2 linked regions of the Drosophila melanogaster genome follow. The protein of the gene in region 2 interacts with the protein of the main gene of each other region in a pairwise test. Each region holds a gene or a part of one and is shown on either strand. Other genes may lie near its edges.

Region 1 (4,004 bases), on a different chromosome or scaffold from region 2:
GGTGAGTCCTGGCGCACTTAACACAAATTGAACTCTCTAGTAACTCGTTTTAAATTGTGCAGCTTTACAAGAAGATAGATGGCCACGAAATCTCCTGGGCCCTCGGCTGTGCATACAACGTTCTGACTAGCGACGAGAAATTCAGTAATTCCTAATGCTCCTCCATTAGTCCGTAGTTGAAGACATAAATTTTAAACGGATTGTTAGCTGAAATTGTTTATAGAGTGCCTTAGACGTGCATCGAGTATACTACAATCACAACACACCGCACACACCGCACACACCACACACACACAGAACACACACTCGGACATTGTCCACAGCATATGTATGATGTGGTCGATTAATATTTGTTTGTGCTCTGCAAGATTCGTTTCAATTGCCTCTAATTGAGCTAACCCATACACGGTGACTACACTTAGCGTTTAGTTTGTAATTCCAATTTTGTGTGATTCGCCATATTTGTAATGCAGTTTTTTGCCAACTTCTTAACTAATTAGTCCCTACACTCGTATCGTATCCTCATGTACATAAATTTACACAATGATATGTATTTACCTAATATGTATAACGACCTAGACTACTAGCCGCAAACATTTCACACGGTTTTTCACACATGCAAATGTTAGTTTAGTTATCTTTGCAAATAAATCAAATGTTAACTGATCTGAATTAAAGTAAAATATTTGTTTATTGCTGATTTTCGTTCGCTATACAAAATATTCTATATTTAATAATAATAGAGGGGTAAATGCATAACGAAGAAAATGAGTAAAGAAAGGGTGTTCCTGCTATGGAATTTTGGTCTTTTTACAAATAAAACTAAGAAACGCTAGCGTGGGAATACGTCAGAGGTCTGCTGCACTACACATTGGCTACGCACTGGCTGCATGTGGAATCGATGAATCCCCTCATGGCCTCGGCAATAGTTGCGGCTTGATGCCCAGCCGGTCGATGATGTACTGCGGCATGCAGAGCGTTGGGTTGATGGCCTTCAGGCCGGAATGTCCCAGTAGCGAGAGTCCGCCGATGCCGAACAGCGTGTGGAATATGTCCGGCATGTTGCCAGTTCTGTCCGAGAAGCCACCGGTCTCCGTGTCCTGGCACGACAGTATGAACTGCTGCAGCTTCTCCGAGCTGATCCAGTGCAGGCGGCCCATGATGGTGAGCGAGGCGAGCACCCACCACGAATAGCATACATCCGGCAGCTTCTCGGGCCGTCCATTTAGCCCACCGGAGGGCAGCTGCCGCTCGCAGAGCCACCAGCCCAGTTTGTCCACGTCGAGCAGATGCAGGCGATGGGTCAGCGAGAAGAAGCCGACGCAGCAGTAGATGAGCCCTGCGGGTTATATGTAGATTAGTTTTTGGATAACATATATGAGCACCAGCTTTATGGCTAGCTATTTTTCTAGTATACTTTTTGTTCCCAGAAGATTAATAAGTTTAAATTGAAATGATATTGACTGTGAGGGCGAAAGCATGACAGGCGATGTGGTGACTCACCCGCATGCGACTCGGCGCCCGGCTTGGAACCGAATCCACCGTCCGTCTGATTGCAGCACGAGAGCACGAACTTGACCGCCTTCTCCACGTCGATGGTCTGCTCCATGCGGCCGAGCAGCGTTAGGGAGGCCACCGCACAGAAGCTGAACCTGGTGTCCACCTCGCCCCACTTGTCGCCAAAGAAGCTGCCGTCGGGCTGCTGCAGTCCGACCACGAATCGGACCACCGCCTCGCGGTCGATCTCCTCGAGGGCGTCGTAGGTGCAGAGGATCTGGATGGCCGACAGGGTGTACAGCAGGTGGGGATCGTGGCCCTCGCAGGGTGCGAATCCGCCCGTGTTCGGACACTGACAACGCTTCACAAACTCGATGATGGACTTGCGCTCCAATCGCTCCAGCTGGCCCATAATGTCCAGGGCAGTGGTGCCCCAATAGATGCCCGACATGCGCAGAAACTCGGTCATGCAGTACTCGTAGTCGTCCTCCTGCTTCCCATGGTTCTCGATGTACTCCACATGCTTCCAGAACTGCAGCTTCTGGCCGCCGCCATCCGCATCACCACCACCGCCGCTGTCGCCACCGCCATTTGAGGGCTTTACGAAGGTCGTGAAGTCCATCGCTGATTGGGCTCAATTGAATGAGTATCGGGTGGCTGGCAGATCCTCTTCGGCGCGCTGTTTCGCTTGATTAACTCTATTAATTGGCAGGAATAGTGCTGCGAGCAAACAAATAACTCAGTGAATCCAATCGAGCACAGCTGATTCATCTGCGCGATGGTTGGCAACGCGGCAGTGGCTTATCAAACAGCTGATCGACGCAGGGGCGTAGTGTGGAGGGGTTTACTATAACCCCATCCAAAAATAAAAATTAAACGTACTTAAATTTCAAATAGCTAGTTTATTTTATTCAAAACACATGCACACTATTGCACCAGCAGGCTGGACTGCGGATCCGGCTCGTCGATGCTTAGGGAGACTATGTGCTGGCCGGGAACCATGACGTTGCCCAGCAGGCGCGGCTCCTGGCCCTCCACCAAGTACTCGGCGCACATGGACAGCACGATGTTGGCGTCGCGGTCCGTGCAGTTGAAGAATCCCACCAGCACGCGTCCGTCCGTAATCACGATCCGAAGAACTCGACCCAGCCACTTCTGGAGCTTCCTGCGTCCCGGCGTCAAACTGGCATCGTTCATCTGGTGCGGGGCGTTCGTTGTGATGCGGAAGGGCTCCGGTGGTGTGCATGCGGGCGGGGGCATCACCTGCTGGCCAGTGATGCTCAGTTCTGTCATGGTTATATCCTCTTTGCTCAATTTAAACAAATAAATGCAAGAAATTCTCAGCTTTTTTTGTGTTTACACTGCGCGTATGTGTGATATAGTGTGCGTGTGTATGAGTAATGGCCAGGGATGCAAGCACGTGTAAGTGGTTCGGTTCACTGGTTCACTTTTTGAGCTCATAAATTCGAAAATATACGAAACACTCGTTTGCTTGTGTCAAAGAAAATACTTTAGATTTAAAACACTTAAAGGAAATGATTGCAAAATGAATGCACACAATGAGCCTTCTTTTTAACATCTTCATACGAAAACTAGTTCTTTTTATATTTGCATCCCTGGTCGAGCTGAGCTTATAAAGGTAACGGGCACCCTAGCCCAGTCAGCTGATTTGCATTTTGCGGCAAATTTTGTTTCGCATTTATCCAAAAAGCTCGTAATTCGTCTCTTGATTTTTTCAAATATCCACCATGTCCGGAAAGGCTTTAAACATTGGCGATCAGTTCCCAAACTTCACGGCTGAGACCAGCGAGGGTCGAATCGATTTCTACGACTGGATGCAGGACAGCTGGGCCATTCTGTTCTCCCATCCGGCGGATTTTACGCCGGTTTGCACCACGGAATTGTCCCGGGTGGCGGCATTGATTCCGGAATTCCAAAAGCGTGGAGTCAAGCCAATTGCACTGTCCTGCGACACCGTGGAGTCGCACAAGGGTTGGATCGAGGACATCAAGAGCTTTGGCAGTGGGTTTGGTCACTGATTTCTGGACAGGAATCGCTTCTAATTGGCGTTTCTGTTCGCAGAGCTGAGCTCCTTTGACTATCCCATCATTGCGGACGACAAAAGGGAACTGGCGCTCAAGTTTAATATGCTGGACAAGGACGAGATCAATGCCGAGGGCATTCCCCTCACCTGTCGCGCCGTTTTCGTGGTGGACGACAAGAAGAAGCTTCGCCTGTCCATCCTGTATCCTGCCACCACTGGGCGCAACTTTGAGTGGGTATTCCAATATCTAGCATTCATCATTATCTATAAAGTAATGCTGTAATGCACTTTAGCAAACAATCGTGCACTTAATCGCATTAGCAGATAATTATTTAATGAAGTATTATTGCTGAAAACTAAGTACTAACCTTGCATATAATAATGGAAGTTAAATAGGAACGATTTCAAGGTCAATTAATCCGACAAATTACATTTAACTATATCCTTTGCAGTGAAATCCTTC
Region 2 (4,846 bases):
AAACTAAAAAAAAAAATCGAATAATATACTTTGTTTATTACTTTTGATTTCTCGGTTGACTGGAATGCACTTTTTTTCGACGAGTCGGAAACAAATTGTTTGTAAGCCTTCAAAGAAGCCAGCACTTTCGCCACTCAACACTCCACAAAACACCGCCGCACGCGAACTGCTCCAGAAACACACTGAAAAGCTGGTAGGGATTACGGCCTGGCGATTCTGAGTCCGCTGCTGAAATTGTTGTCATCTCAGGCCTTCGGCAGCATCTCGCACATCCCACCTCGCATCCCAGGCATGCGCAATCGATACTCGTTACCCCACAATCCCCAGTTCACTCGGGGAAGGGATGGGATGTCATGGCTGTGGCTGCACCGCCACAAAACGATACCATCCCATATTACAACTGCTCTGCGCAAAAGAAACCCCCATACAATGCATTTTGAGTGCTCATTACGGCCATTACCGAATCGATATTCTCGAAATGAACGAGCCGAACTGGCTCGACGTTCAAAACTGCATAAAAAAGGCGTCGTCTATGATTTGGATTTATTTAAAAACTAACTGCAATTGGCTAACAACAAACACGTGCATGGCATGGCGATAATCGGTTAAGTTTTACTTCTGAACAAAGGGCTAACAAATCGTGCCCGGATCAGATTAAGAACAGAAACGAACAGGTAACGCTAATAGATATCGAAATGCAATTGGCGGACCAGTGAGATCCGTTGTCATATCGGGCTAGTTGAACTTTGTCTTTGGATCGCACATTTATAGTAGAGTAGAATAGAGGCATTTCCGTTTCCAAATCCGTTTTGAATCGTCTTCCTTTCTAGTATTTTACTCTTTAACAATTTGTCTTGCACAAGTTTCTGTATTTTTGGGACGATAATTAGATAGGAAATAAAACACACGTCTTTATACACTTGCCACATTTCAGAACGGATGGGCAAACGGAAAGGCCGGGAGTGAGTAATTCTATTGGGGTAGATTGATTTGAGCTTTATCAGGTCGCGCTGTCTAGTCCGCTGGATATCCAAAGCTGAGGTGAAGATTGCACCACCGCCGGTGCTTACCACCCAGGGTGGACTCCTCGCGCCGTACGGCACTTAAAAACGGATTATCTTCAAAGTCAAAGTTGCCCAAATGCGAACGCAGATCGCCTGACGCCACTGGTAACAGTTGGCCATTGGGCAAGCCCATTTGCAGGCGCACGCACTGCTCCACGATGAACTTGAGTGCCGCACGGCGATGCAGCTCGAAGCAATCCCGCGATCCGTACATCAAGCGCTGCTCGGCACACAGACGCATATCGTTGGCGGCAACGTTGCAGCAGTAAAGAAATGATATTAGCCTTTGCTTGCTCACGGAACTCAGATCCACATGTGGTAGCAAGAGACCCAGCAGATCCTCAGCGTTGGCTTCACATTCCAGGCCATAGCTTGTCATTAGATGCTGCAGACTGGCCAACGTAGACGAACCACTGGCTCCGGAATCCTTGGGAAGGGCAAAACTGAGCTCATATGCACGACTCAGGAGCACTTGGCGGTAGTGGTAGCAGCTGTAGTCACTGATGTGCTTCCGCATAAACTTCTCCGTGCGTAGCAGTTCCGATTGCAGCAGGCATGGGCCGTTCTGAAGGATCCACTGGCGGTGCGACCAGGCGTGATAGTTGCTGGCGCATCTATCGGCGGCCCTTTCGCATATCCCGATCTCATTGGGCCAGTCAATAGCATCGGCACCTGGAAATAATGGAATGAAATGGGATCCCCAGTTGCCGACGTCCACTTACTTTGAAATGAGTACAGCCAACGGCGGTAGGCGAATGCTTCATTGGACTTCGGTTTGATTGAGAGCACGAGTGCGGAGAACTGCAGCTCCTTGTTGATGCTCAGCCGATTCTTTTGCACCAGCTGACGGCGGATGTGCCAAAAGGTGGTCACATCGGGATTAATCAGCAGAGCCACGTTTAGGTATTTGGCCAGGGAGTCGCTCTGCTGCTGCTGCTGCAGCGTCCGCAGCTGTTGCGCCGTGGTTTGACGGCGATGGGAGATGAGGGTGCGGTGGGCGTGGTCGTAGACATGCTGGGCACACCACGATTCCAGGCCCAGATTGTGCTCCACATGCACAACCGGCGATTTGTTGCAGTTGGCTTCTTTGGGTATAATTTCAAAGGAGGCGCTGGTGGAGAAAAGAACAATATATTCGGACATCAAGGCTTGCTTTCATTGCTAACAGTCTGATTAGATCTATAGTAGAACTAAATGCTGGACTCACAGATCCTGATCCTTGAGGAACACCGCATTGATGTCCCTGATGATCTTCTCGCAGAGCACCTTTTTCTCGTTGCGTTCCTCCTCCATGGAATTTGAGTATAGTCCGAACGTGGAATTTCAATGGGGATGTGGTTTTTGCTTCCTCGGGGATCTCGCTTCCGTTCCGTTCGATTCGAGGGTCTCAGGCACATTGATTGCCTCCAATTAATATGAACATGCTCAATGTCTCCGGTTAATTAAGATTTGGAAAGGGGAGGAAGAGGAGAAGATGGCGGAGGCTGGAACCCTGTCTACGCGACTATGGAACCCCCAAAGGCGGCCGCATCACAACAAATAAATTTCAATTAAGCCGGGGCCTGGACACGAGATCTAGCCTTTATTATTATTATTATTTCAGTGCCCAGTGCGAGGGGCTGTCAATCTGGTTCACCCCAAAGCGCGGTTCTCCGGCGGATCGGTCCGCAAGCTCGGAAATGTGTTCCCTTTTTTTGGCGACGGTGAGCATATGTTTGTTTGCAAACATGTGTTTGGTGTGCACAACAACAGAGGAGGCACTTGCCACGATAACCTACTAACCGCGACGTCAGAACCAACTGTCGGGAAAATGGCTATTGAAAGCAGGCATTAGCTGGGACATTAGAATTTTTCAATTTTTTTTTCCTTTTTTCTACAGTCAGTATTATCAGTACATTTGCTACATTCATATATTTTTTCAGTATTAACGGAATTATTTCTTAAGTATATGCGTTTAATAAACAGTTGATAGCAGAATGATTAAGATATTTAAGAAAATTTATTGAATTCAATGAGCACCTCCGTATTTGTGTGCACGCGGATTTGGCTAAAAACCAAAATGTTTGCCACCACTGTTACATTCCGCTGGTCACACTCTTCCCATCTAACACGTGCGCGCCCGAAAGAGATTTAGTAGAAATACACAGACAGGATGCAGAACTCCTTTCTTCCACTGAACACACGGCGTTTTCGACAGCGGGCCCAGGTGGAAACGCCGGATACGGTGTACTGGGACCGACTGGCGGTGAGTTGTATAGGACTAGGCAGAGAGGCTCGGCAACCAAATCATTGTTTCCCCTCTGCATTCCACAGAAACCAGAACTACTCAAGGAGCACAACACCATCGATTATTTGGACTTCAGTCCAAGCGATCCTGACAACTTTGTTGTGACCTGTTCGGTGCGCGTTCAGATTTACAACCTGGTGACCATGCTTGTGGTAAAGAACCTTTCCCGATTCCAAAAGACCGCATACGGCGCCACCTTCCGGCAGGATGGTCGACTCCTGGCCGCCGGCGACGAGGAGGGCCATGTCAAGCTATTCGACACCACCAGTCGCAACATCTTGCGTTTGTTCAAGGGACACACGGCACCAGTACACCGCACCTTCTTTACGGCGGACAAGCTGCAGCTAGCCAGTTTTGGAGACGACAAGTCGGTCCGTCTGTGGGACGTGGCAAACGAGAAGGTGGTGCAAACGTACGAGGACACGCACACCGACTACGTTCGTGCAGGCGCCATGCATCCGCAGGCAGGGCATATGTTCGTCTCCGGCGGCTACGATGGCAAGATCAAACTGTACGATACGAGAGCGGAAACGGCGGTGCAGCGCACCTTAGATCACGGAGCTCCGGTGGAGTCCATGTTGTTCCTTCCGAACGGCTCTATTTTCGTCAGCGCCGGCGGCAGCCAGGTGCGCGTATGGGATCTCATCAGCGGCTGCCGTCTGCTCACCATGATGTCGCAGCATCACAAAACAGTAACTTGTCTGCGACTGGGATCCGATGGCAGGAGATTGCTCTCAGGCGGGCTCGATAGGCACGTGAAAATCTACGATGTGAGCACCTACAAAACAGTGCACACATTGACTTATCCCAATGCGGTGGTCAGCATGGCTGTTGCTGACGGAGATCAAGCAGTTGTGGCTGGAATGGTCGATGGTCTAGTCTCCATTCGTCGCATGATGGTAGACAGCAAGCCCAGTCATTTGAAAAAGATTCGTGCGGATCGCGCTCGAAAGTACTTCGTGAGTACGAAACGCACGAACAACACCCAAGAGGTTGATCACACCATCAAGGACCACGTCAAGGGGCCTGGATTGAAATCCTACGATGTGCACTTGCGCCAGTTTAACCACAAGAAGGCTTTGGACGACGTGATGAATGCGCAGAAGATGCAATACCAGCCGGAGCTCATTGTGGCTGTCATCACGGACCTTCTGCACCGTGGATCACTGGGAAAAGCCCTCACGGGTCGTCATGAGGCAGCGCTTGTCCGATTCATCGACTTCATTTGCAACCACTTGGGCGAGGTGCGATTCATGCGCCCGCTGATGATGGCCGCGAGCACGGTCCTTGATGTCTTCGAGCAACGATTGGTGGCCTACAGCCAGAAGCTGATGAAAGCCTTGCAACGATTGTCACTTGCAATGCAGGAGGAGGTGAGGCTCACCGCCGAGCTGATGCGGATGAAGGGTGCTGTGGATATGCTCATTGGGATTTCAATGGACAATAGCGAGGTAGCCCATAAGCCCACCTATGTGGAGACAAAGACACCTAAGAT

The links. Proteins that work in one complex are often made in the same cells at the same time.
Region 1: the proteins of temp (region 2) and RabGGTb interact in a two-hybrid assay, tested with the Drosophila melanogaster proteins (2 studies listed by BioGRID).

The regions. Positions count from the first base shown.
Region 1 is NT_033779.5:2,877,379-2,881,382, reverse strand, and holds RabGGTb (Rab geranylgeranyltransferase subunit beta), read right to left. Parts: upstream 2,272-4,004; 5' UTR 2,120-2,271; coding exon 1,504-2,119; intron 1,340-1,503; coding exon 912-1,339; 3' UTR 675-911; downstream 1-674. Other genes in the region: NTPase, read left to right, coding at 1-1, 63-155; Sbat (sabbat), read right to left, coding at 2,425-2,790; Prx6a (peroxiredoxin 6a), read left to right, coding at 3,246-3,519, 3,580-3,772, 3,994-4,004.
Region 2 is NC_004354.4:2,259,680-2,264,525, forward strand, and holds temp (tempura), read right to left. Parts: upstream 2,837-4,846; 5' UTR 2,358-2,836; coding exon 2,272-2,357; intron 2,176-2,271; coding exon 1,787-2,175; intron 1,737-1,786; coding exon 1,015-1,736; 3' UTR 528-1,014; downstream 1-527. Other genes in the region: CG3071 (uncharacterized protein), read left to right, coding at 3,217-3,309, 3,378-4,846.